4 linked regions of the Stegostoma tigrinum genome follow. The protein of the gene in region 1 interacts with the protein of each later gene in a biochemical or structural test. Links are inferred from orthologs where the notes say so. Each region holds a gene or a part of one and is shown in the gene's direction. Other genes may lie near its edges.

Region 1 (7,089 bases):
ATTCATTGTTGTCATTTAACACTGGCCTACATGTGACTCCAGACCCACAGCAATGTGGTTGCCTCTCAACTGCCTTCTGAAATGGCTTAGCGAGCCACTCAGTTATGCCAATTGCTACACCGTCTCAAAGAAATGAAACCAGACAGATTACCTGGCATCGACCTAGATGTCGGAAAAGACGACAAGAGCAACCCTGTCGACCTTGAGAAGGGCATAATTTAATACTGTGTCGAGGACTCTGCACCTCACAGCCTAATAGATTTGGCAGCAAATTCCCTTGTTCATGTGGATTCACTGTTGTCATTTAACACTGACCTACATGTGACTCCAGACCCACAGTAATGTGGCTGACTCTCAACTACCCTCTGAAATGGCCTAGCAAGCCACTCAGCTCTGCCAGTCGGTACAACATCTTAAAAAAATGAAACTGGGCAGATTACCTGACATTGACCAAAGCACCAGGAAAGACAATGGCAAAAATAACCCTGCTGACCTTGCAAAGTCTTCCTCACTAACATCTGGGGGCTAGTGACAATGTTAGGAGAGCCGTCTCACAGATCGTTTAGACACAGCCCGACTTAGTCATACTCACTGTATCATATCTTACAGACAATGTTCCAGACACCACCGTCACCATGCCTGGAAATGTCCTGTCCCACCAGCAGGTCAGACTCGGCAGAGGTGGTGGCACACTGGTTACAGTCAAGAGAGAGTTGCTATGGGAGTCCTCAACATTGACACCGGACCCCATGAAGCCTCATGGCTTCAGGAAACCTCTTGCTGATTACCATGTACTATTCTCCCTCAGCTGATGAATCAGTACTCCTCCACGTTGAACAACGCTTGGAGGAAGTACTGAGGATAGCAAGGGCACAAAATGTACTCTGGGTGAGGAACTTCATTGTCCACAACAAGAATGGCTCAGCTGCAGTACTACTGATCGAACTGGTCGGGCCTTAAAGGACATAGCTGCTAGATTGGCACTGCGGCAGGTGGTGAGGGAACCAACAAGAGAGAAAAACACACTTGACCTCATCCTTACCAATCTGCCAGCCGCAGTTGCATCTGTATATGACAGTATCGGTAAGAGTGACCATTGCACAGTCCTCGTGGAGACAAAATCCTGCCTTCACATTCAGAATAATCTCCATTATGATGTGTGGCACTATCACTTTGCTAAATGGGGCAGACTGCATTCAGATCTAGCAACTCAAGACTGGGTATTCCATGAGACACCATAGGCCATCAATAGTAGCAGAATTGTACTCCAGCACAATCTGTAACCTCATGGCCCGAGATATCCACAACTCAGGCATTACCATCAAGCCAGGGGATCAACACTGGTCCAATGGAAAGTGTAGGAGGGCATGCCTGAAGATGAGGTATCAACCTGGTATCGAACAGGGCTACTTGCATGCCAAACAGTGGAAGCAGCAAGTGAGAGACAGAGCTGAGCAAACCCACAACCAACAGATCAGTTCTAAGCTCTGCAGTCCTGCCACATCCATTCGTAAATGGCGACAAACAATTAAACAACTCACTGGAGGAGTAGGGACAACAAAAATCACCATCCACACTGGCCTAGCACATCAGTGCAAAAGATGAGGCTGAAGCATTCACAGAAATCTTCAGCCACAAGTGCTGAATGATGATCCATATTGGCCTCCTCCAGTGGTTCCCAGGATTAGAGATACCAGTCTTCAGCCAATTCGATTTACTTCACGTGATATCAAGAAATGGATGGGGACACTGGATTCTGCAAAGGCTACAGGCCCAAACAACATTCCAGCAATAGTACTGAAGACTCGCGCTCCGGAACTTACTGCTCCTCTAGCCATGCTGTTCTGGCAATGCTACAACACTGGTTTCTACCCAGTAATGTGGGGTACACAAAAAACAGGACAAATACAACCCGGCCAATTACCACCTCATCACTCTACTCTCAATCATCAGTAAATTGATGGAAGGTGTCATTGACAGTACTATCGAGCAACACCTGCTCAGCAATAACCTGCTCAGTGACGCCCAATTTGGGTTCCGCCAGGTCCACTCAGCTCCTGACCTGAGGAGAGGGGAGACTACAGTCTCTAAAGTAAGAGGATATCTGGGAAGTCTTAGAGTTGAATGCCTCATTCTGGCAGCAGATGTGGTGGAGGTGGAAGAATTGTGAGTATGGGATAGAATTTTTGCAGGAGGGTGGACGAGTGGAGATGTAAATGTTGGAGTCAATGAGCTTGAATTGGATGTCATTGGTAAGCTGGTTATTTGGTGATGGAAAGGAAGAGGTCCAGGGGGGGAAGAGGTGCCAGAAATGGTCCGAGTGAATTTGAGTGTGCAATGGAAGATGCTGGCGAAGCTGATGAAGTGCTTGAGCTCCTCCCGGGAGCATGAGGCAGGACCAATCATTAATATAACTGAGAAAAACATGGGGGATGGCGCCGGTGTAATTGCTGAAGAGGGACTATTCCACAAATCCTACAAAGAGGCAAGCATAAATCAGGCCCATGTCAGTGCCCATAGCCACCCCTTTATTTTGCATGAAGTGGGAGGAGTCAAAGGAAAATTGTTGAGGGTGAGGACCAGTTCTGCCAGGTGAATGAGAGTGTCAGTGGACGAGGATTGTGTGGCCCTACAGGTGACGAAGAAGTGGAGTCCTTTATGGCTATTATTGTGGTAAAAACAGGTGTACAGAGACTGCATACCCACAGTGAAGTTGAGGTATTGGGTGGTGGGAAATTGAAAGGTTTGGAAAAGGTGGAGGGTGTGGATTGTCCCAAATGTAGGTGGGGAGTTCCTGGACCAAAGGGGAAAAGATGGAATCAAGATAGTGGGAGGTGAGCTCAATGCAGCCGGAGTAGGCAGAGACAATGGGTCGTCAGTTGGATTTATGATCTTGGGTAGGAGACATAAACAACTGGTGCGGGGTGCGGGACCTATCAGTTTGGATATCAGGAATTCAAACTTGCAGACAGTCTGCAGTATGATGCAAACTACACCAGATGATCATCAGTTTCTCCAACAGTGTGCATGCTTACTTATATTGTCTCACTAAATGTAGGGAATTGTAAGTGTGCTGTATTTATTCTCAACCCTACCTACAATGAATCCACAATAGAAATGTAGGACAGAGTATTAATAAAAATATAAAATGGCAAGTGTTCGATATGACATCCAGTCTTTATATATTATATAGTAATACTTGCATACAGGTACGTCTAATGCAGCTTGCTATAAATTCATTAATCTCAATCCAGCAACTGATCTTTGCAAAATTAGACTATAAAAGTTATATAGGGGCAGGAAAAGGCAATCAAATTCACCTCAGCCTAGTAAGCCTATAGATGAAGCCATGTCTGGTTCAGTGACCTAGTCCCTTAACCCTCAATATATAGAACATACAACAATGTAACATAAGAACACATGCCTCAGTCCATCAAGTCTGTGCTGACCATGATTCCATTCTATACTCATCTCATCTGTCTATTCTCTGACTGTGTGTCTGTGTAAATGCCCCCTAAACGTTGTTATCTTATCTGCGATCGTCCCAGGCAATCTTCGCGAACAAAAACCTATCGGCCTCAGATTTAAAATTCACAACTTAACAGCTATCCTTTTGCACCTGTGCGGGCAATAACTCAATGCGTCGTTTGTGCTCTTGTGCCTGTCTGTCTGTCTCTGCCACAAATCATTTTTCAGCGGCACCTCCACAGTGTCAGTGGCATGTTAGACTATACTGCCTGGCTTTCTGTGTTACTACTCCTTTCCTCCAGATGCTGCCTGGCCGGCTATGTTTTTCCAGCCTCCTGTTTGTCTACGTTGGATTCCAGCATCTGCAATTTCTTCTTGTTTCTATTAAAACGCAAGCGTTCGATATACAGCAGCCGACAACGGAAGGATAGTGAGCAGCGAAACGGAAAGGCACGAATGAGGCCGAACAACAGCACTGGCCGTTGGGAGGACGGAGCCGCGTGCCCGTCTATCCGCGCTCCGCCGACGCCCGGGGTGTGGGCGAATGATATAACGCAATGACCGAACCATACCGCGCGCATAAGGGCGCGCGGCTGTGGGCGGGGCCTATGACGCCAGCGCGTCCGAAGAGGGAAGTGGAGCAGCTCGAGCCGTCGGGTGTCAGATGCCATTCCCCGTGGGGGGTGTTGATGTTACAGATCCACTTCATTTGAATGGATTTTACTTTCTCCACATCGGGATTGTAAAAAGGAGTAACATAACAGCCCCGCCCACCTCCTCAAGTCAGTCGTTTTTGAGATACGGAACGGGCGGTTTCTTTCAAAATTTTAAATTCTTCTTTGCAGCAACTCCTCTCCGCACCCTGACGCCTTCCCCTTCCTCTCTCCGTCCACCCGCCTCCCTCAACCACCTCCGACCCTCCCCTTTTCTAAGAGAGGAGAACAGCCTCCCTGCACAATGTCAGGAGTCAGGCCGCACTTTTACAAGCAAGAGTTGAATAAGACAATCTGGGAAGTGCCGGAGAGATACCAGAACCTCTCTCCCGTCGGATCTGGGGCTTACGGCTCCGTCTGGTACGTGTGCCGCCGCTGGTTTCAATTATTTTAATTTTTCCCGGAGCCGCGCACAGGTTTCTGTTTTTGCCCCAAGTTGTGGGAAAGTTGTGCAAGAGCTGCAAGCAGCCTTGCCAGCTGTGCACCCCTGCAGGCCTAGCTAGGCCCGCACTTTCTTCATGAGCCATTAGGATGTTTGGCGTCTGTTTCATTGGGACTCCCGCACGCTATGGTGCACGCATTGCACTTTTTAACGTTTTCTGTGTGCAAAATCTTTAAGCGGGCTTGACAAAACGTGTTCAACTCTAGTCAAAAACAAATTGCTCAGTAACTTTTTGCATGATGCATTGGTTTTCTCCACTGTTGAGGCCGCCTACCGTGTGCAACAAAAGGGGTAAAGCAGCAGTGAAAGTTTACTGTATAGTTCTAATTCCGGTTTTTATTAAGAAAAGCCATTGGATTTTAACCGATCAGTTTCCCTTGTGGATTGATTCTAAACCCTGTGGTATATTGATAGCATGTCTAATCCTTTCAGTCGATACAGCGATTGTCTCTTAACCACAATAATTGCTCTTTATTGCATTTATAGTTGCAAGTTTCATTTTCATGGGAATACTTTTATTGACTAAATTCTATTGTTGAACGGCATTGCTTTCGACCCTTTTGTAGCTTGCTTCGCCATATAGGCACAGTACTGAAATAACGAGTAGTTTGATAGCAGTTTATAACTTAATGATTTGCACAATTTGGATAGTTTCTTATTTTTGTATATGAGTATTAAATATGAATCTTGCGATCCTTTTCAACCTAACGTGAGCCTTAAATTCACATTCTTCGCTAACGGCTTTTGTTTAAAACTATGAAATGCTACCATTAGCAGTGGAGTAGAATTGTGGGGTCAATAGGAGCCTAACTGCAGCAATGACGGCTGGAGTATGGAACTAGATGCTTACAGAGTTGGGTAGTGTTGCGGAAGGACTTATACAAATGAGGTGGATCATTTCTACCAATTGAAAAAATGTGAAAAGATGAGTGACAAAATTTGGTCAAGTTTGAGATTGTTGACCCTCTAAGGTTCCTTATGAACAAACAGAAACACAAATGGAAAATGTGCATATATATGTAAACGCGAGTGCTGAGCATCACAAATATTGATTTCATTACGCTTCCGATAGATGCCTATCTGTCTACAATATTCATCATGCAAGTAAAAGAATACCCTTCACTGCTTGGGTCAGTGGCTGAAATAGTCCTGATGTTCTACCAACGCTCTGATTTGAGAAGCTTGGGTGTCAATACTGAGTATTTTAAACTTAACAAGTCGCTGTGCAGAAGCAGATCGTGGGTGTTTTCATTTTGGAAATACGAAAATTTAAGTGATTTTTTTGACTGCAACATTGGGAAGCTAATTGTGGGCAACTAATGCATTGTTTAACTGAAATTAAAGAGTATGACAAATTAGTTCTGCCTGCAAATTAGATTTCTTCTCTATCTGTGGCATTGATTTTGCATGATATCTCATTTGTGTTAGTCACTTACTTTCTTTTCACACAATTGGTTATGATGATGAGCACCATCTAAAGTAGTTTTTTTTCAGAGTGACAGCTGCTGAAGGATCCAATATCCATTTGGCAGGGCATTTCTTGGGGTACTGTTTAATGTGCTTGTGGTGGTGTTTGGGTCACATTGCTGGATGGTACTGGTGAGTTGATAAGTCAGCTTGTCTAGTAATGTTGTTTCATCATTTGCAATCAGCCCATGATGCCCTGAGATGCTGTGATGTGTTGTGGTGAATGCACATACATTTATTTGCTATTATTATCATATACACATTTGCCAGTACAGCAAATCCATGGATATATTAAATGTAGTAAAATCCATGATAGGTCTTAACAGAGATAGTAGGAACTGCAGATGCTGGAGAATCTGAGATAACAAGATTAGAGCTGAATGAACACAGCAGGCCAAGCAGCATCAGAGGAGCAGGAAGGCTGATGTTTCAGGCTTAGACGAAATGTCAGCCCCACACCTAGTTATCATAGGTCTTGGCAGTCTTATTTTGAGATGACGAGTTAGTTTAAAGTGCAGACTAGAAAGTGAAAAGAAATTCAGGGAATAAGAAATTAGAAAGTAGAGCTACATGCCACTGTAGTTCTTAATTTTGACCTGTTCTAAACCTGAAATGGGTTTTTTTAGTCGAACATCAGTAAAACTATTTTGCTGAAATAATGAAATGTTGAATCAATGCTTCAACCCTCAGTTTAAAAGAAATAAGATTTTTCTTTTGAGGATTCTGTCCTGAGTGCTTAACTGCATTTCATTTGAGCCAAATGTTTCTGTGCTATTTAATTCATTTTTTCCCCCACAAAAGTGGGAACAAAATACTGTCATCAGTATTGTTAAGTCTTTTAGGAGACAGGAAACCGGCAGTGCGTTAAGCAGAGCAATTGATTAAGCAGTAGTTTTCTCTCATCACACTTGGTTTCCTTTGGATGTAAATGTTGCAGTAAATATTCACAGACACTGCAGAAAAATTTTAATGTTAGAGTACAACCTATATAAAATTCAA
Region 2 (7,146 bases), on another chromosome or scaffold:
ACTGTGACCAGTTGACAAAAGTTGACACTGTTTGTTACCAGTTGTTTTTGTTTTGTTTTCCCAGTCGTCATTTGTTGTTGGCAGTTGAGCCTAACGTATGAAAGGGAAATATTACGTACCCACCTCAATACCTTCATACGGGTCGAAGTACCTTGGACATCAGAATTGTGATACGTACTTAATTATGAAAACTCATGAAGAAACTGAAAAAGTTGCCGACTGTAGCTGTAAGTTTCAAATTATTGTTGGGAAAATAGAGGTGTGAGAAATTTCAAGTAAATTAAACATTACATAAATTGGATAAGGTTTATTTTCAATACATACAGTTAATTTTGTATTTTCCAAATGTTATCTGTACAAACCAGGATGCTCCACCAATCAGAAACTCTGATGTTCCCCTAAATGACCAGGAGCAATTCGCCAAACAAGAAACTGTACTGATGACAACTGGTACCTTAGTGTTGTCATGACAACAAAACAAGCTTCACCCGGCCATTGTGAAGTATAATAGCAGCACAGTGAAAAGCTAATGCTATTATATGTGCTTACTTGCTGTCGCAGACCTCATTCAACCCTGTTTTTGATTTCAAACACCACAGCCAAGATTTTCCATATTGAAGTTAAAGAAGGACATGAGGCATCTTAGAGAGCATCAATTCTGTCATGACCTAGGGCAAATTTTCTTGCACGACTGTACCTTTTTCAGCTCATTTTATAAGGAAGTGAGTCATAGTGTGACGTCAACAGTAAGTGATATGGGGTGGGTGGGGAGAGGTTCTTGATCCTGCCAGGATCTCCCAGGTGTGAAGGTTCTGCTGGTATACATAAAAAGCCACCTGAGGCATCCCTTCAATCTCCGCCAAGCTGCAGAGTCAAGAGAGCCTGCGTCAGCTACTCCCTTCCCTACTCACTCATGGTCATATAGCAGGAACAAATCAGCTCCAAGGTTTATGAAAGCCTCATCAGGTTTCGGCTCAATGCCATCCAGAGAACCCAGATAAGTGCTGTCCTCTAGTATTGGCAGCTCCCATCAGACTCAGGCGCTTGGGTCAGTGCCAGTGTGCCACAGGAAGGGCAGCGACTCCTATGTTGGTGGGCCCAGCGTAGGTGGCAGCGTGGCACAGGTATTGTTGGTGATCCGGCTCAGGGCTCAGGATTCTCTTTCAGTCATATCTTTTATCCTTTTCATTCTCAAACTATTCAAAATGGCGCTGGATTGTGGCGACTTTTGAAGCTTTTCACTGTATAATTTTACTGTATTATTCACTGTAATGCTGGTGGCAATAAATAAATCATTCAGCATTCATGAATGGTCTCCTGTGCTCCTCATTGCAAGATCAATCTCTTAGGGCCATCACTTAGTCTAACTCAGCCACTGGCCTGCAAGCCTCAGTCTCTTACCCATGATCTGCTTTGAAGGGCTCACACCTTATGCTCTGAGTATTCTGTTTCCCAGGCATTGCACTTTCTAAATACTTGTGGGAAGCCTACTTTCGGGACACATGGTCATAAAGTGCTCCTGCACCAGTACCAAGGACACACAATCCTTCTCCTTCTCTGCTTGCAGGACAAGAGGCCGAAAAGGCTAAGACCAGTGCAGAGTTGCTGAGTTTTCTTCCCTTATATGGTCCAGGCAGCAGAGTGATAGATGCGGATAGTGACCAGTCCTGAGTCAATAGAAAGATCAGAATGGCAGGAGAAGTCAGTAAGGAAGATTATAGACTGCACTTCTCAGTTGTGTCGTTCCACATGTTCATCTATATAAGGACTGTGCATGTTCACCAACTTATTCTTTCTCTTCTACAGGTATGAGTAGTTAACACACACCGCCAAGAAAAAGAGATGCGTAGCCTCTCCCCATCAGTACCATTTCTGACATGATTGCTCTGAAACCGCAGCAGATGCACCCTCCACCAGCTCAGAGAGTTCCACCTCATTGGGTTATCTGCCTATACTACATACAGCATCACCATCTTGTGAGCACATTACTAACACATCACTGCTGCAATTCAAAGGAAGCTGCATCTCAGGCACCTCAGAGACCTGACACCTAGCTCAACTCCAAGCAAAAGACATGCTCCTGTACTTGGCCCAGAGTAACTTGGAATATCACGCAGGGATGCTGGATATCCCTGTTACACCTCACTAGGGCAGCACGCTCAAGCACCGCTATTCCCAGAGGCATCGCCAAACTTATACATTTTATAAAAGTTGACAAAATACACCAATTTACTTGTGTTTTGGACCCAGTTGACAGAAAACTCAGACAGGTTTCTGTATTTAACAGAATACTTATGTATTTAACATAACTATTTGTTATAAATAAGTAGAGTTTATCGAGAACAACTATGAGCTGTTGACATGTAACTCTACCAGTTAAAACCCTAACTCTCAGTAAACTTACCCTATATACACATATAGACAGTCACAGGCAGACACCAAAAAAATTGGCTGCAATTGGTGAAGGGAAACAGTGTAAGGCAGTTCAATAGGTTTTGTCCACAGGGTTCACTGAAATGATCCTTTTGGCATGTCAGAACTTGCATATGGTTTCAAGCTCATTACCTATCAAAAGGACTCAAATGGTTGAATGATATTAAAGTCAGCCCTCCTTCTGTTTTTTTGGCATTTTTGATTTAGTGGTATCATCAATTCCTGATGCATGCCAGGTATCGCAAATTTAACTGTATTAAATTTACACACTTAAATTGCACCATTTCGCAAATGTTCTGTTGAATTCATCTCAAGTAATCTTTGCATGTTATTAAGTTTTTTTATTTTCAAACATATAGTTATTCATCTTTTACACCATAGCCTCCTCACTTATGGTTCGGGGCTGATGGATAAAATATAATAGAGTAATGACAGAAATGTTTAGAGAAAGACTTTGGTCACAGCACAAAATGGGCATCCAATAACAGCCAAGTGAGAAAGCTAGATAGATTCATGGGAGAAAAGAGTAGAATGATATACTGCTTGTATGAAACAAAATAGGGAAGAGAAGAGGCTTGTGAAGACTGGCATAGATCAATTAGGTGAACGGTCAGTTTCTGTGCTGTGGAATTCTGAAGTATGCCAAACTATGTTCAAATGGTCAAACTACAAACCTTTCTCAGTTTTTATTGCAATTGTGTGACACATGGGTGTTGAGTTATTCATGATTCATGTTTTGTAAGTGCAGAATAAGTTGCAGCATGAGATACAGGCAGTAAAGTTGTATTGAAGAGTAGAGCACCTACACTTTAGAGATAATGGGAACTGCAGATTCTGGAGAATCCGAGATAACAAGGCGTGGAGCTGGATGAACACAGCAGGCCAAGCAGCATCTTCGGAGCAGGAAAGCTGATGTTTCGGGCCTAGACCCTTCAGCTCCACGCCTATTTACACTTTAGAATGGGTTACAGATTTGCACATAAATCAGGCCATTTACTTTTCCAACCTAACTGTAAAAATAAGGTACTGGTAACATTAGATGTGGTAAAATTTTCAAGTAATTATACAGAATGTATAACGTAGAAACAGGGCGTTCTGCCCGACTAGTCTGTGCTGGTGTAGTACCCTCATAAAGCTTCTTTCCACTGTTCTTCATTTCACCCTGTCAGTATATCATTCTATTTGTTTACCCCTCATGTATTCATCCACCTTCCACTTAAATGTATCTGTGCTATTCATTTCAACTATTCCATATTGTAGTGAGTTCCACATCCCTAATTCTAGCTAAAGAAAGTCAACAAAAAGGTTTATTAGTTACTATTGCATATTTCTAGCTATAGTTTTAATTTCTTCTACACGAGAAACATTGTTCTACAGCTTCTCCATAAAACCTTTAAACACCTTAGACTATAATCAAGACAAAATGACTGCAGCCTTTTCGCTGTTTCCCTGCTAAGTATCACCTCTCAGTTCTGACCTGATCTTTTTTTAGATATTTTGAAACTGGTCGTCTGGAGAGGGTGGGACATGTACCTTCTGGCCCATGCATTTGCCCTAATTTCATTAATTTATTCAATTTCAGTCTAATGTCTCAGGTTCTTAGAAGCACTCATTCTTCATTTCCTTGCTGATGTAAATCAAGAGCATCTGTAAAAAGTTATGTTCTTTCAGGCCTGTGCTCTTGTGAAGGGGATTATCTGCCTCCAAGCTAATGATCTGGTCATCTTTACAGGTAGGTCTCCTGTGAACTTACAATTTTTTTTTGCTTTGTTTCAGTCTTTTTGGGTTTAAGCTTGTTTCAGTAGACGACAATTACTAGTTCCCAAAGATTGTTCGGTGAATGTTATTGAATATGAAGTTACTTCTTCAATTTAAACTCCAAAATTGATTGCAGGTATTGAAAAATGTCTGGGGTTTGTTGCAAATCAAATTTGCAGCAGTCAGTAAAAAAATTGAGTTCAAGATAACCTTGATGCAGAAGAGAATTTTGGCTGCTAATAATTCCTGTTTGTTCTTTCTGGTTAATGTAAAATAGATCCCATTGCATTATTTTTAGGAAAAACAGGAGAGTTCCTTTGGTGTTTTGCCTATTATTTCTTCTGATACCACTAAAATAGACAATCTGGTCAGTCTCTTTGCTGCTTGGAAGAGTTTTCCAAGTGCATTTTAATTGCTGTATTTCCTACATTTCAATAGTGGATTCTTTTTTCGTGGGATGTGGGTGTCACTGGCTGGCCAGCATTTCTTGCCCATTCCTCGATGCCTTTGAGAAGGTGGTGTTGAGCGGCCTTCCTGAACTGCTGTAGTTCACTTGCTGTAGGTTGACCCATAATGCCATTAGGGAGGGAATTCCAGGATTTTGAACCAGTGACAGTGAAGGAACAGTGATATATTTCCAAGTCAGGATGGTGAGTGTCTTGGAGGGGAACTTGAAGGTGATGATGTTCCCATATGTCTGCTGCCCTTGTCCTGCTAGGTGGAAGTGGTTGTGCGTTTGGAATGTGCTGTCTGAGGGTCTTTGGTGAATTTCTGCCATGCATCTTGTAGGTAGTACACACTGCTGCAACTGAGCTTCGGTGGTGGAGGGAGTGGATGCTTCTGGATATAGTGCCAATGAAGCAGGCTGCTCTGTTCTGGATAGTGTCAAGCTTCTTGTGTGTCATTGGGGATGCACTCACAGGCAAGTGGGGGGGAGCATTCCAACACACTCCTGACTTGTGCCTTGTGGATGGTGGACAGGCTTTGAGGAGTCAGGAGGTGAGTTACTTTCCGCAGTTTTCCCAGCCTCTGAGCTGCTCTTGTAGCCACTCTGTTAATGTGGTGAGTCCAGTGGAGTCTCTGGTCAATGGTAACCCCAGGATGTTGATAGTGAGGGGTTCAGTGATGGTAACATGAATGAATGTCAAGGGGTGCTGGTTAGATTGTCTCTTATTGGTAGTGGTCATAGCTTGGTATTTGTGTGGCGTGAACGTCATTTGCCACTCATCAGCCCAAACCTGGATATTGTCCAGAGCTTGTTGCATGTGAACATGGACTGCTTCAGTATCTGAGGGTTTGCAAATGGTACTGAATTTTGAGCAATCATCAGCAAAGATTCCACTTCTGGCCTTACGATGGAGGGAATGTCTTTGATGAAGCAGCTGAAGATGGTTGGGCCAAGGACACTACCCTGAGGAACTCCTGCAGAAATGCCCTGGAGCTGAGATGATTAACCTCCAAACACCATGTCCATCTTCCTATGTGTCAGGGATGACTCCAAATACCAGAAATTTTGCCCCCCTAATACCCAGTGATTCCAGTTTCGCTCCTTCATACCACATTTGGCCAATTGCAGCCATGATGTCAAGGGCTGTCACTCTCACCTCAACTCTGGAATTCAACTCTATTGACCATGTTTGAATGAAGGCTGTAATGAGTTCAGGAGCTGAGTGGCCCTGGTGGAACCCAAACTGGGTGTCACTAAACAGGTGCTGAGTCAGTCCTACTCTGTAGCAGTGTTGATGACACCTTCCATCACTTCATTGGTGATTAAGAGCAGACTAATTTGCTGGATTGGATTTATCCTGCTTTTTGTGTACAGGACATTCTTGGTGAATTTTCCAAATTGCTGGATAGATACCAGTGTTGTAACTGTACTGGAACAGCTTGGCCTGGGGAGCAATAGGTTCTGGAGCATAAGTCTTCAGTACTATTGCTGGAATGTTGTCAGGGCCCATAGCCTCTGCAGTACCCAGTGTCCCCAACCGTTTCGTGACATCACATGAAGTGAATTGAATTGGCTGAAGACTGGTATCTGTAATGCTGGGGACCACTGGAGGAACCCGAGATGAATCATCCACTCGGCACTTCTGGCTGAAGATTGCTGCAAAAGTTTCAGCCTTATCTTTTGCACTGAAGTGCTGAGCTCTTCCATCATTGAGGATGGGGATATATGTGGAGTCTCCTCCTCCAGTGAGTTGTTTAATTGTCCACCACCATTCACAACTGGATGTGGCAGGACTGCAGAGCTTAGATCTGATCAATTGTTTGTGGGATCATTCAGCTCTGTCTATCACTTGCTCTTTTCGCTGTTTGGCATGCAAGTAGTCCTGTTTGGTGGCTTCACCAGGTTGATACCTCATCATTCAGTACGCCTGGTGCTGCTCCTGGCATGCCCTCCTGCACCGTCCATTGAACCAGCATTCATTCCCTGGCTTGATGGTAATGGTTGAGTGGGAGATATGCCAGGCCATAAGGATACACATTGTGCTGGATTGCAATTCTGCTGCTGTTGATGGCCCACAGTGCCTCATGGGCACCCAGTCTTGAGTTGCTAGGTTTGGGTAAAGTCTATCCGTTTTAGCACGGTGATATTGCCACATAACACAATGAAAGTTATTCTCAATGTGAAGGCGGGACTTTGTTTCCATAAGGACTGTGTGATGGTCACTCATACCAATACTGTATGGACAGATACAATTGCAGCTGGCAGATTAATAAAGGTGAGGTCAATTATGTTTTTCCCTCTTGTCAGTTCCCTCACCACCTGCAGTAGACCTAGTCTAGCATCTATGCCCTTTAGGACCCAACAGCTCAATCTGTAGTATTGCTGCTGAACCACTCTTGATTGAAATCCCCCACCCAGTGTACATTTGGTGCCCTTGCCATCCTCAGTGCTTCCTCCAGGTATTGTTCAACATGGAAGAGTACTGATTCATCAGCTGAGGGAGGGCA
Region 3 (7,797 bases), on another chromosome or scaffold:
GCATTTGAAGGGTCCAAGGCTGGTTACTGAGGACAAGGGCTATCCAGTGTGATCATGACTGATGACACCATTGCACAACCCCTCAACTGCTTTTACCAGGGCCAAGGTGGCGCAGATGATAGAGCTGCTGAAGATGAGGGTCCACAGCTTGGAACAAGACACGGGTCCACACAGAGTGTGCTGCATCACCCTGGAATGCAGTGCTACGCATAAGTGGAGCAGGTGACAAAGCAATGTGATAGACACTGAGGACCTGAGAGAACAGAAGCAGTCTTCCAGGGTGCAGAATGAGGACATTGGGGAGGAGGATGTGTTCCTTGTGCATGTCAGAGATTAGGTGTGTCAGATAATACAAGTCAGACAGTACCTGATTGATACCCAGTTCCAGTGGATGAGAGCTGGGTGCAGGAGACCATCGTGAAATGTTAAATATTTGCTGGTCATCGTATCAGCATTTAGTTTGCATTGTGGGGATGAACTGCAGCCTCTATTTACTTATATGTGTTTGCTTTTGCTGGATTCAAATTAAAGCTCATCTCTGGAATTGTCTGGTTACTTGCTTTTAAGTGATGTTCTTCTGGTGGGTAACAGAATAGCAGTGACCTAGAGACGGCATTTACAAAAGATGTGGTTAAGAACAGTTAAACTGACCTTTGGTTAAACAAGGACTTGGGTTCCAGGAATAAGAAACTTCAGCTCTAAGGATAGATTGAAGAAGTTGTGTTGTCCTTCTTTGAGAGGAAATTTGATAGAGTTTCAAAATCATAAGCAGCCTGAATAGAGTGGATTGGGAGCAGCTGATCCAGCTTGTAAAAGGAACAAGAACAAGAAGGCTTAGACATAAAGTGACGTGTAATGAAGAAAGGTTGATGTGAGAAAGAACTTTTTCACTCAGCAAGTATTTAAGGTACTGCCTGGAAAAGGGGTGGAGGCATGTTCATTTGAGGTTTTCAAGAAGGTATTGGATGATTAATTGAATATAAATGGTGTGCAAGAGTACGGCGAAAACACAGGTGATTGGCACTTGATAATGATGTTTGTTTGAAAAGCTGGTGTAGGCTAAATGGCGTCCTTCCATACTGTAACTATTCTGTAATTGTGGCTGAGAAGGATGAACTTTATATGTAAGACTGTCTGCCATGTCGGGAGCTGTGTGGCTTTGTGATTGCTGTGCCATTAGGTTGCCAGTGCGGGGGCAACACCAGGTTGCTAATGTTTGCCTGGTGCACAGCAGCCTTGTAAAGATGCCAGAGACACCAGTCTTTCAGCTGATATCCAGGGATTGGCGAGTTCCAGGTGTTGAGATAGGGTTAGAATCCAGCAGGAGGCATGTCACAGCACCAGAGCAAGTTGTGAATGAGGTGATTTTGGTAACACACAGTTAAAGATCTCACCAGACTTCTTGGCAAAAAACTCTCCAAAAACTTGCATGAATGACGTTTTGCCAAACAATGTAATGTTCAGCCCCAAGTTACAATTTTATTGCAGACAAAAAGAATCACAACTGTTTAAACTACAGATCAAGACAAATTTGTTGGGCCATTCAACCTGTTCCCATCCTGTAAATTTATGTAATCTATTTATCTCCAAAATTAATTAGGAAAACATGAATTACGCACTCACTAACAATACAAGACTTTATCACAAAAGGTTCATGTGGCATAGAATTGTTCCTAAAAGTCTATAATTTGAACACATAGTCCGGGGGTTTCCTCCAAGCTGTTCCATTCCACTGGTACAACCTCACCAGAAAAGCAGCATAAACAGGGTTTCTGCCAGACTTCCTACATGGTTATGGAAATGGAGTGAGAACAGCTTTGAGGGAATTACCAACCATAATTTCTCCCTACTTAAATGATTGTGGTTTTTACTGAGAAAGATGATTGATGATTATATCAGATCAAGAATATTATTTACATTTTAAACAAACAAAAGGAAGATTTTCCAAAGCTCTTTTCAGTAAATAACATACTTATAAAATGTGGTTAATGGTGCAATGAAGGAAATAATGCAATCAATTTGCACACAGCAAATTGTGGAAACAGCAATATGGTAACAAACAGATAATCTGCTTTAATGATCTGAATGAGGTATACACATTAGTTAGCCACCAGAAAGAATTCCCTTGCTCTTAACAAACAGTGTCACAGTCTGGGTTTTAGAGGGGTTTTACTTAAAGTCTCATCTGAAATATGACAAATCTGTAGTGTTCTTTCAATTTTGCTCTCAAATTGCAGTCTACATTATGCGCTGAAAGTGCTAGAGTCACACTTGAACCATCAACAAACTTCAGAGGGATATTTTCCTGCTTTACACCTGGTTCTGCCATAGTGGATATTCAGTGGGGGTGACCAGATGGCGATAAAGAAACATGCCTTATTTTCCAACAAAAACTAAGTGTACAGTGCAGGGCTGTCCATATTGCTGGTACATGATCTCCCACCCTTCAGAACAAGAATTTAGCCCTTCAAGCTCAAATTATCATTCAATGGTGATTTGTGACCGACTTTTCATATTCAATTTTGCCTAATATTCCTTCAAATCTACAAAGAACAAAAATCTATCAACATCAGTTTTAAATTTAATATTTATCTAACATTTTTTACTAGTGGAAGGGACTTCCAAACTTTAGAGTGATAGAGATGTACAGTATGGAAACAGACCCTTCGGTCCAACTCGTCCATGCTGACCAGATATCCTAAATTAATCTCATCCTATTTGCTAGCATTTGCCCGTATCCCTCTAAACCCTTTCTATTCATATACCCATCCACATGCCTTTTAAATGTTGTAATTGTATCAGCCTCTACCACTTCTTCCAGCAGCTCATTCCACACACACCAGCCACTGCATGAAAAAGTTGCCCCTTAGGTCCCTTTTAAATCTGTTCCCTCTTATCTTAAACCTATGCTCTCTACTTTTGGACTCTCCCACCTCAGGGAAAATACCTATCAGCCTCTGACACTTCAGGGAAAATAGCCCCAGCCTATTAAATCTCTCCCGACAGGTCAAACCCTCCAAACCTGGCAACATCCTTTTTAATTCTGTTATGAACCCTTTCAAGTTTCGCAACATTTTTCCTTCAGCAGAAAGACCAGAAATGAATGCAGTATTTCAAATGCAGCCTAACCAATGTCCTATACAGCTGCAAAATGACCTTCCAACTCCTGTACTCAATTCACTGACCAATAAAGGCAAGCATACCGAATGCTTTCTTCACTATCCAGTCTACCTGCGACTCTACTTTCAAGGAATTATGAACCATCTGCAAACTTATTAATTTTACCTTCTAGATGTAAATCCAAGATATCAATGTACCTAACAAACAGTAAGGGTCTTAGTTTGTGTAAACGTCTTTCTAAAATTGACTCCTGAAAGGTCTGGTTGGCTCTAATGTTTAGAATGTGATCTGTAGTTCGAGACTCCCACCAGAAGTAGTATCTCTCGCTTACTCTTACATTATTTTTGTTTTGAAACTTTGATCAAATCACCCCTTAAACTTCTAATTTCCGAGGAATACAACCTTGTTTGTGCATTGCTCCAAATTATTTAACACTTGCAGTACAGGCATCTTCGAAATCTATGCTGCATTGCCTTCAAGGCTGCTATCTCTTGTTTAAGGTATGCTTGCCCGGACTGACGGACTGCTAACAACCAACTGACATTCACTACACCCATCTGCTCTAATATGTGGTAAGTAAGAAATCCTGCCTCCTAGTGCATGCAGAGTAAATACAGTTTAGATAAATGTTTTCACAGTAGGAAGAATACTTAACCACGTCGAAACAATTGCACGCAAGAGTTAATTGATCTCCAGTATTACGCTTAACCTTGCTTTAAATAATGACAACATCCCATGTGTTGGTACCGTTCAAGATTCTCATCGTTGTTAACTCAACCATTTACAGATAAATTATTTTAAAGTACCCCACAAGATCTGCCACCGACAATAAAAAGTTTCAAGAATTATCGTTTCCTTCTCGCCATATCGTTTTATTTTACTGTACGTGTTTTTTTGCAGTACTTTTTAGATAATAGCAGTGAATTCATGGCGGGTCCAGTTGAAGTTCTCGGTGCAACATTGGCGGGCTTTTTTGTTTCAATTATCTGCAACATCATATGCTGCTGACGCCAGCTCAATTTCAAGGTGTTACTACGGCTTGGGGAGGAATACCCGGCCGTCTTGTTTTTATTTTGATTTTGCTTTGCCTTCTAGTTTATGTCCGAAATTCCGACCAGAAACACTGTTGTGGAATGTTACGCATCAGGAATTGTAATGAATGATTTAAAACATGAGTGCAATTACTTAATGAATAGTAATATGGCGTGAAGAGGAAAACAAAATGAGATGACTCGGCTGTCCCTTTTCATTAAAACTTTGACTGACCCTGTTGGCACTGACTCTGGGTGCACTAGCCCTGGCTGCATTCATTCTGATTCCATGGTCACTTTAAACTGGTATTGGCTGCATTGGCCCTGGACGAGAAAGAGCCAGCAGCCGCTCGATTCCGGGAGCAGCCTCGCTAGCGGCCAGCCCATTGGCTGCCAATGATGTCATGCAAACGATAACGTCGACGCCCGGCCGACCAATGAAGGTGCGGTACCCGCCCTCTGCCGACGGCAATTGGCCAAAACGTCGGGGAGCGGGTTGCGAAGCGGGTCGAACCTTGGGAATGACAGACTTCCATTGGTTGGACATTCCGTCCATCGACGATACGGCCCCGCCCCCGTCAGGTAAAGGCGAATCGCGTTGTTATAAGAAAAAGTGTAGTTGAATTAAAGCGGCTGTGGCGGGGTAACTAGCTCAATGAGTTGAGAGACAGGGAAAAAAAAACACCACAAATGTTGGGAAGTTTCTCTGGGACTAGATCACTAACGAGTAGACAGTTAAGTCCCAGGAGAGCGGGAGGAGCTGCACTTAGTGATGTGAGTACATTTTTCTCAATGGCTTCTTGCAGCGGAGTGAAGCCCCAGCTCCGCACAAAGTTGTGGCTCAACTTGGACTTTAAATTGCAAGCACCTCGCCCAGAGAATAAGCGGGCAGTTTGTTGATTACTTAAAAAGAAAGGTTGCCCAATGAAGGCGCCTGTGCCTCGAGTTTATTTTTAGTTGCGATCCCCTTCTATTTGCGGCAGAAATAACCAATGCGTGCCTCTGAATTTATTGCTCTCCCCTCCCCTCCCTCTGCTCTGATGCTGACAGTACATTTGATCCCGTTTCAGTCCATTTCCTCCACGGATCGCCAGCAGGGCTCATCAACATCATCCTGATGCCTCCATCCCCTCTAGACGAACGGATTGTTGGGGTGGTGGCATTGCCGAGGCCGGTCAGACCGCAGGAACTCCATCTCCGTTTGGATCACACCTACGTGGCTTCTTCTTCTCTTCCTCCTTCTCGTCCCGGAGCAGCGGCGACTCCGGCAGCTGGCCATCCGAAAGCTCAGAGCCTGGCGGCGGCAGCGGCTCCGCTCCCGTCCCGAAGCGGCAACTTTCCGTATATGCCATCATCTAACGGCTCGGTGCGCTCCCTGTCCTGCGGATGCAGCGGCGCTAGTTGCTGCACGGTGAGCACCTACCCTCCCAACAAGGGCGACCCGGGCTCGGTGGCGGGGGGCAGCCACCTTCTACCAGCCCCGGCTGCTGCTGCTGCCGCCTCCTCCTCCAAACTCAGCTGCCCTTCCTGCGCTGGCAGCCCGATGGTGAGCGGCAATGAGAACGGCGGCTCTGCTGCAAGCCCCCCGGCTGCCGGAGTCGGAGGAACCCCGTCCCCTCCGGCCGCAGCGGCCGTCCGCACCATCCCCCCAGCCGAGCTGGCCAAGAAACTGACCAAAGGCAGCGGCACCAAGGGGCCCCCGTCTCAGAGCCAGGGACCGGTCATCATCGACTGTCGCCCCTTCATGGAATACAACAAGAGCCACATCCAGGGAGCCGTCCACATCAACTGCTCGGACAAGATCAGCAGGAGGAGGCTGCAACAGGGCAAGATCACCGTCCTGGATCTCATCTCCTGCAGGGAAGGCAAGGACTCCTATAAAAGGATATTCTCCAAGGAGATAGTAGTTTATGATGAGAACACTATTGAGCCCAACCGGGTGCTGCCCTCTCAGCCACTTCATATAGTGCTGGAGTCGTTGAAACGAGAAGGCAAGGATCCGCTGGTTTTAAAAGGTAAACCTTTGGAATCTTCCTTTTCATTTAAAAAAAATAAGAAAGTTTTAACGATCGGATGTTTCCAGAGTTTAGGGTAGAGTAGAATACAGCTATAGATATGTTCGTTGCCTTAGCAGTCTGTTCATAAAGCAAAAGTCGTCAGGAGTTGGTAGTAATTTGTAGGCGACACAGCCTGCGGAACTAATTCAGTTCGTTTCAAGGTTCGATCGATTTTAGGCATTTTAGTTACATAGCCTGAACGTGAAGTGCGTAAAGCGATTGACTTTGAAGCGAAGACGGTGACCTGTGTTATTTTTAAATTCTGCTTATTGAATGAAAATGTCTGTTTTGAAATGTCACATTGCAGGAGCGCAGGGCAACATCCTGAAAACGAATACAGTATGTGGAGCACGTCCCTCCAGCTACTGTGCATGACTGCTTTACTAGCACAGAAATTGAGGGGGAAAGAGACCATTAATGATGATTCATGCATGGTCTGCAAATATGAACAACTTCTGAAAGGTCCTGATTACATGACAGACATAATCTCCAATGCAGCATAATTAGAAACATTGACTTAATGATATCGACCTTGTTTCGTTCGAATGCAATGCAGTATATGCATTTTCAATTTCGTTGCAGTAGATGCATCACATAAAGAGTGAGCAGTATAGATGACATTTACAGTAGCCAAGGCAAAACAGCTGAACAGCTGCAGTATTGACCGTCCCCACAAATTGGTGTGGGTTTGAGTCCTAAGGCAGTTTGTCACTCGAAGCTGCCTGCAACAGTTGGGATTAAATTCTGCCAGTTTTAGCCAGGCTGCTAGGTGGAGCACGTTTGCTTGTAGCGTTTGTTTCAAGGACAATGAAAAAGTGATAATATGCCTGTCTGGTCTCACCACAGCATGCTTCCTCTTGTTGGTTAGCTGCAGAACATGATCTGAAAAATTTGAGTGACCTTCAGTGTCAAGAGAGGGGCCCATGTTGGAAAACATGCAAAGGTGCGGACAAGAGCAAAGAAATTATAAGCTACATGATGGAAGAGTGGTTCAATATTTATTATAGCTCTAACATCATGAGCAACAGGGAATACTTTGTAAATGACGAAAGACCTGCTCAAATGCAAACATAATTGGTCACAGGAGATCCAAAAATCATTGTTTTGGTAATAAGAGAGAGAGGTGTGGCCTATTCTGAAGGTTATGCAGAGGTAATAGAAAAAGATTTATTAAAATGATGCCTGAGAATAGAGTTTTAATTACAAGAAGAGAAGGGTCCACAAATAGTGTTGGAGAAACTCAGCAGGTCTGGCAGCATCTGTAGAGAGAGAGAAAGAGAGTTCAAGGTTTTTGAGAAGATTTGTGGCTTGGTTTGTTGATGCGGTTGTTGACCTTGCTCGTCGAGCAAGTTAGCAGTCTCAAAAACGGTAAATGTTTAAGTCCAGTGACCCTTCATCAGAACTGAAAATAGCTGGGGAAAGATTGTATTGATGCTGGTGACGGGTGGAAGAATAGAATATGTAGAGATGGTGCCCAGCGAGAGAGAGTGATGGGGTGATGGAGTGGGGTGGGGGGAGGAAAGAAAGAGATTGCTGAGGATAAGCTGAGAGTGAGATAATTGTTAGGAAGTTGCCAATGAAAAATGTAG
Region 4 (6,949 bases), on another chromosome or scaffold:
AACCTGTAACCTTAATCACTTAGAAAAACAAGGACAATAGCTGTAAAATCCCCTTCAAGTCACATACAGTCCTGAATTGGAAACATATCGCTGCTCCTCCACTGTTGCTGAGTTGAAATCTTCGAACTCCCTTCCCAACGGCAAAGACTACAGCAGTTCAAGAAGGCAGCACAACATCTCCTTCTCCAGGGCAATTAGAACAAGCAGAAAATGTTGGTCTAGCGAGCAATGCTGTAACTATGAATAAATAAAAAACAAGTTTTGAGATTCATGCGCACAGTTTTATTGCTTTTAGTTTGAGTCTAATTGTTGGTGTCACACCAAGCACAGGGTAGAACACACCAGGTGACAACATTCATGTTCAAAAGTGAATGACTTCTGTGGCCAGGGGCGTGCAATGAGAGTTGGTGCTAGGTCTACTGTTTTTTGTCATTTATATAAATGATTTGGGTATGAATAAGGGAGTAATAGTCAGCAAGTTTGCAGACAACACCAACATTAGTAGTAGCAGAGAGTGAAGAAGGTTATCTCAGAGTACAAGAGGACATTGATCGGACAGCAAATGGGCCAAGGAATCGCAGATGGAGTTTAATTTAGATAAATTTGAAATGCTGTATTTTCGTAGGACATATCAGGGCAGGACTTATACACTTAATGGTAAGGTCCTGGGGAGTGTTGCCAAACAAAGAGACCTTGGAGTGCAGGTTCATAGTTCCTTGAAAGTGGAGTTGCAGGTAGAGAGGTTAGTGAAGAATGTGTTATGTATGCTTACCTTTACTGGTCAGAGCATTGAGTATAAGAGTTGGGAAGTCATGTTGCGGCTGTACAGGACATTGATTGGCCACTTTTGGAACATTATATGCAAATTGGGTCTCTTGCTGTAGGAAGGATGTTATGAAACTTGAAAGGGCTCAGGAAAGATTTACAAGGACGTTGCCAGGGTTGGAGGGTTTGAGCTACAGTCAGAGGCTGGGGCTATTTTCCTTAAGTGCTGAGGATGAGGGTGACCTTATTAGAAGCTTATAAAATTATGAAGGGCATGGATAGGAAAGGTCTTTTCCTAAATGAGGGGAGTCCAAACCTAGCGGGCATAGGTTTGGAGAGAAAAGGGAAAGATTTAAAAGGGACCTAAGGGGCAACTATTTCATGCAGAAGATGGTGCATGTATGGAATGATCTGCCAAAGGAGGTGGTGGAGGCTGGTACAATTATAACATTTAAAAGATACCTGATTGGGTATGTGAATAGGAAGGGTTCAGAGGGATATGGGCCAAATGTGGGAAAATGAGAAAAGATTAACTCAGAATATCTGCTCAGCATGCACGCGTTGGACTGAAGGATCTGTTTCTATGCTGTACCTCTCTATAACTCCATGATAGATGGTGAGCATTTATTCCTGGATACAAGGCCCACATGTTGCCATGGAGACAGTCTTTGACAGGGAAGGGGCTAAGGTATTCCAGAAAACTCAAAGACAAGGTTCGTCTGCCAAGAACTTACAGAGGGACAATAGCTCTCGGCAACAAGATACTGTGGTTCACTACACAGGAGTGGATGTGGGAACTTGTGCTAAGTGTAAGTACAAAATTCATGAGGAGTTGGAAGGCTCACCTAGCATGTGCGGCAGGAGGAATCTCTGAATAAATCTCACTCCTGAATTTAAAAATTTCCAAGATGGGAAATGAAAATGACAGAATTAAACCCTTGGGGCTTAAGAATCACCTTGGGCTGATTTGTGGAGAACTGGGTGTCCACCTAAAGGACAGTAAACTTGTGAAGTGTTTGGTTGTGCTGAAAGAAAAAGGGATATGTTCTATCTTGAAGTTTATCTTTGTCGGTAACTTTGACTTTAAAGTATTTTCCAATAGACTTTTTGTCTTTTGTTGTAGTAAAATGTCTTAAAATGCTGCATTTTGATCTGTTATGTTTCAGCAGTAACTGGAAGTTTCAGTTTCTTTTTAAAAGCAATTGGTCAGAGACCATGACAATAAAGGAAAACTGGACTAAGTGTGGCTCTGAATGTAACTTAGCTCATGGTGAATGATGTCATGCCTGACTGAAGCCACAATAATCTTCCCACTGCTTTTGTCAACCAAAATACCATTATCATATGAACAAACCACATTTTGCCCTTCTGTTTACTCCTCTGCCATTTGCTTGTTATTCAAATAACTCACCAATTCCACTTCTTACTGAATACCTAATCCCTAAACTTGACTTCATATTCAATTTACATTTTCAGATACTCACTCAAAGCCCAAATTGTTTATAACACTCACCTTCAGCTCCCTTGATCCCCAACTTCACAAATGTGATGACAATACCACCACCCTTCAGAATTCTCCCCACCTACATCTCTGCCTTCTTTTGCATCCAGGCTTCCCATTGCTAGCACTACCCTTAGCTTTGACCCATGCGCTGGAATTCACTCCAAACCTCCTGCCTGCCTATTTATCTTCATGAATCTCCTGAAAAACCTACATCTGACAATGCATTTGCAATTAGAGTTCAATTGCCTTCCAATCAGCATGGTCCTATCGCAGCAATGTTGCTTTCCCTTTCCATTGGTATTTCTTGCAAATTGTTCTGATGAGTGCAAGTTGAAAAGCCTTGACAAAATGTACTCTCATTAGAGAGGTTTAAGCCCTTGGGTGACCCATCCTCAGGTGATGTAAGGGGGTTGAGGAGAGTCCTTCATGATAAACGCAACCAAAGTGTAACTGAACCCACACTGCCGGCATCACTCTGTACCTTGATCCAGCTGTCCAGCCAACTGAGCCCCTTCAATTTCAAATGTGGAGGTGCCGCTGTTGAACTAGGTTGGACAAAGTCAGAAGTCACATGACACCAAGTTATAGTCCAAAAGGTGTATTTGAAATCACGCGTTTCCAAAGGACTGCTCTGACATTAGGTCAAGTTAAATACTACCAAAGGACTATTTGAAACAAAGTTGGCCAACATTATATTTATTTCAAGACAAAACAAGTCTCATGCAGGGAAGTGGATTTTCCAATGCATCCCTTTAAAAACTCGATACAATTAGTGTGGCATCTCACAAACGGACACAATGGAATTTTGTTTCAATTACACCCAACTGACTCTGGGCTTGTCTGATTCTGAAAGACGTTCACAGCTTTTGGAGCTAAAGTTTCTTTATAACAGTTTCCAGAGGCAGAGTTGGTTTGACATGAACACATCCGGCCTCAAAAAGTGAAGTGTCAGCCTGAACTTGACTGTCTCTGCATTCGTGTTTATAACTGAAGTTTTCCCCAGACACTCCGGCCAAAGCACACAGTTACACTCCAGAGGACCCCAACAACAGATGCATAAATAAGTAACTGAGTGAGTAAAAACCAAGCTCGCACACCCCACCCTCTTCCTCAACAACCAGCTCCTGCGCTGCTCCCGCAACCAAACCTCACTCCCCAACGCCCAGCTCAACCAAACCCTACACTTCCTCTTCGCCCATTGGCCTGCCCTTCAAGCCAACCAGTTTACTATTGGTTGACTGCCTGTCGGTCAGTGTGCACGTGGCCAACCAGAGATTGGGACCTGCCCTAACGGGACCCGCCCACGCACCCCCTCCCATGACGTCAATAGCAGGTAAGGAGAATTTAGCCCCAAGCTGGGAACATTCATAGGGTCCGGGGGGGGGACAAGAGCACGCCATCTCGGGGTGTTCACCCCTCTTCAATCCAGCTGAAGCAGACTGAACATAAAAGAGCGGATTTTAGGGAGACACACCACTAAACGAGGGGGATGGATGTGAAATCTCCACAAGGGGGGTGTTTGACGTCAGATCATTAGACTGCTGTGTGCTACTCCGCGCTGTGCTGCGGATCTGGGAGAAAAGTAGGCCCCCTTTGCTGTTCTTGTGGGGGTGGGGGTGCTGGGGTCCGTATGCATCGTGGGTCTGACCTGCCAGTACCCTGGGGGAAGAGGGGGTTGGTAATGTGGAGGGCTGGATATTTGGCGGCGGGGGTGGGTGTTTGTGTTTGTTTCACTTTTCACGCACCCCCCCCCGTCAGCCCGCCCCATGTCCTGGGTGGGCGGAAGGATAAAGGAGGATTGCTGCTGAGAGCGAATGGGCAGGTCTGTCTGTGGGAGACTAAAAATAGCAACATTGTGTCTTTTTGATACAATTATTCATTTCGCGGCTGATACAGTATCCTCTGAGTGGTGAGTAAAAATAGCAACATTTCTGCTTCCCTTAGCCACCCGAATGTATCTGCTTGGCAGGGAAATTTGAGTTTGTTTGAAGTGGATTATTTGCCTTTCCAGCCCCACAGCAAATGACAGAAACAGCAGCAGCACCAGAGCTTTCAGGGGTCTGACTGGATATGATAGCAGCGTGAATAATCCTTTGCAACCTTTCAATTCACTTTTATTTTAATATATATATTTGAAAGTGGATTTTTTAAAAAAGAAATCTATATATTGAGCCTTGGCTGTTTCCCCTTCCCTCCCCAAACGTCTTCATCTTGGCCTTTATTTCTTGAGGGGATGTTACAGTGGGGGTGAGTGGCTTGATCTGTTATATTAACCCGGAAATATTCTGGCATGCTTGTTCTTATTCCACCCCCACTCCACTCCTTCTCCCCAACCTCACCTCCATCTCTTTTTAAAGGATTTCTCTGATTAAGGACAGGAGAAAGCAAACAGTTGGAAGTGTGCGGCGACGTACAAGATTTTTTTTATTTTTTGAAAAGTTTGAAGCTGGATTGTTAGGCCCACAGACTCAGAGTCAGGATTTAGTGATTTTTTTTCTGTGGTAAGTTCAGTCAACTTTTTTTATTGACTGCCAAAACATGTTTATTTTGAGAATGGTGTCTGTGTTCTTCTAACAAACTTTCATGCGTTATTTTATTTTGGTTGGTGAACTATTCCAAGTGTTGTGTAATTGTGGACCCCAAGTTGTGTTCGTTCGCATCTTTAGTCTACGGATGGATTAGTAGAATCACCTTCGTCCAGAGTCGATTAATGGCTGTCATTTGTATTCTGAAAGGAGCCATGAAAAATGCCCTGTTATGAAGTATCCATCCAGTTTCCAAAACATTCAATTGCGTGTGCAGGGTCGAGGGGTCTGGCTGAAGGTATTAATAGTGCTAACGTTGAAAATGCAAAAAATTGTTTAGTGTGCGAATGAACAGTAGGATCGAAGTCCTAGATTAACCTAATAGTTTGACAGCTCAGCTTAGTCATCACTAAGGGCAGTTAATTTAATTTCAAACTGCTTACAAGCAGTCTGAATGTGAAGTCTGTTCACCTATTTCGTCAAACATGTTTCCGCTGGTATGTTCAGCACAATTTATTCCCTTGAACTCCTTCGGTATATTTGAAGTATAAAATACATTATAAATTCCATGAAGCATTTATTTTGCATGAGATCCGAGGTACACAATGTTTCAAGAATATTCCTTGCGTGGACTTTGCAGTTGTTATAAGTGGGTTTCCAGCTTCAAAAACAACTTTTTAACTGTTGTCTGAAAAATTGGGCAGCTAAAAGACTATTTTGGATTCTTGATGGATGGTGTCATGGCTTGTCCAAATGTGTTACTTGATACATTGCCTGTTTGTCGTGTAACACAGTATTGTGAAGTTAGTGATCAAAAGTTAGTAAGATGGCCTTTTAACCATCAATGATCTCAACTTTTATTTTCTGTTTGGGTTTGTCCTTTGCGATTGGTTAAATATGGTATTATGCTGCAACAGTTTTTCAATGGAATGGATTGTAGCTTTCATTCTCTAATATTCTTGTGTTTATTGGGCTAGGTGCTGCTCTTGTCGGTTTTCTAATATGTAAATTATGACCAACTATAAATTGCATTATGTAAAGGGATCAACCATACAGCTTTGATTGTCCAACTGTACTCAGTACTTTGTACTCAGCTGTACAAAGGTGCAGCATGCAAAATTGCAATTCCTGTGATGTGCTTCAGATTGCAAAATACATTCAGATTTCTTTGAGTTTGTTCAGTGTTCCTGGAAGTATAAGCAGTGTGGTTTGCATAGTATTAGCTACAATAAGGCTAATTTCTCCATTCAATTTATTCATGAAGTAGAATGTTGTTTGGATGTAAGAAACTAATAGTGAATTCTAACCTTGTGTAGATCAGTGGAAGTATTGTGTAAAGATGTGTTTGATCAATATTACCTTGCTTCAATAATATGTGTTCCTTGTCCTTCAACACATTATTATGATGTAACAGCTCGTTTTGCCATGAATCCTAAATACTAGCATCTGTCGGGTTTTCTTTTTAAAGTAGCTAGTTAAATTGAGAAAAAGAAGTCAAAGAAAAATTTTTTTTGTGCTATTTGAGAAACAGTTGCAGAAAATTCATCATTCACTGAAACCTGGATGTAGGATAGAGCCTATAGGTCATGACTGAATCTTGTTGTCTAGATTCCATGCAACTACAGTGTGAGAACTGGGAAGAATTCCAGCAGAGTAAATAATCTTGTTTGAATTTTTTTTATTAAGAAACTGACTGGGTATTATTTTCACTTATGGACTGGAGTCTTGTACAAAAAGCAATATATTTAAAATATGTGTAAGGTGTAGAGTTTTAAATCGTTTGGTTGTGAAAAATGTTCTTGTTGTTTTTGGGGTGTTTTTCTTAGCCATATGTATGTCTTCAATTCTATATACACATTTACATGTTGACATTACTGATGTTAATTTTTTGCATGTTGTTTGTCTTGTGAGCTCTCTTGGGATGTGATAGTTGCTACACAAATGCATATACTTATTTACTCCAAACTGTAGTCAGTTGTGAATGTTTGATGTGCGTATACACTGGGGGGTGGTGGTGGGGAGACAATTGCAAAATGCTTTCTACTAATTAAAAGTGCTTAAGAAATTAAGTTGTGTTTATAAATATAATTAACTACTGTTTTTGGAAGGTTGCACAATTTTGCTGATGTGATGCTTGGACCATCTGGAAGATTCA

What was found.
Region 2: of the proteins of mitogen-activated protein kinase 14 (region 1) and myelin basic protein, one has a biochemical effect on the other in vitro, tested with the Homo sapiens proteins (4 studies listed by BioGRID). The link is inferred for Stegostoma tigrinum from reciprocal best matches to the Homo sapiens genes MAPK14 and MBP.
Region 3: the proteins of mitogen-activated protein kinase 14 (region 1) and dusp10 form a complex in vitro, tested with the Homo sapiens proteins (2 studies listed by BioGRID, with this or other methods). The link is inferred for Stegostoma tigrinum from reciprocal best matches to the Homo sapiens genes MAPK14 and DUSP10.
Region 4: of the proteins of mitogen-activated protein kinase 14 (region 1) and mef2aa, one has a biochemical effect on the other in vitro, tested with the Homo sapiens proteins (2 studies listed by BioGRID). The link is inferred for Stegostoma tigrinum from reciprocal best matches to the Homo sapiens genes MAPK14 and MEF2A.

What each region holds. Positions count from the first base shown.
Region 1 is NC_081374.1:27,103,230-27,110,318, reverse strand, and holds the start of mitogen-activated protein kinase 14, read left to right. Parts: upstream 1-4,077; 5' UTR 4,078-4,425; coding exon 4,426-4,541; intron 4,542-7,089. UniProt on the Homo sapiens protein: Serine/threonine kinase which acts as an essential component of the MAP kinase signal transduction pathway.
Region 2 is NC_081358.1:41,218,768-41,225,913, reverse strand, and holds the start of myelin basic protein, read left to right. Parts: upstream 1-4,129; 5' UTR 4,130-4,144; coding exon 4,145-4,165; intron 4,166-7,146. UniProt on the Homo sapiens protein: The classic group of MBP isoforms (isoform 4-isoform 14) are with PLP the most abundant protein components of the myelin membrane in the CNS. They have a role in both its formation and stabilization.
Region 3 is NC_081362.1:53,408,817-53,416,613, forward strand, and holds the start of dusp10 (dual specificity protein phosphatase 10), read left to right. Parts: upstream 1-4,775; 5' UTR 4,776-4,925; intron 4,926-5,221; 5' UTR 5,222-5,268; coding exon 5,269-6,166; intron 6,167-7,797. UniProt on the Homo sapiens protein: Protein phosphatase involved in the inactivation of MAP kinases. Has a specificity for the MAPK11/MAPK12/MAPK13/MAPK14 subfamily. It preferably dephosphorylates p38.
Region 4 is NC_081386.1:13,878,061-13,885,009, reverse strand, and holds the start of mef2aa (myocyte enhancer factor 2aa), read left to right. Parts: upstream 1-3,949; 5' UTR 3,950-4,178; intron 4,179-4,207; exon of another isoform or gene 4,208-4,516; intron 4,517-4,626; exon of another isoform or gene 4,627-4,770; intron 4,771-5,003; exon of another isoform or gene 5,004-5,092; intron 5,093-6,949. UniProt on the Homo sapiens protein: Transcriptional activator which binds specifically to the MEF2 element, 5'-YTA[AT](4)TAR-3', found in numerous muscle-specific genes. Also involved in the activation of numerous growth factor- and stress-induced genes.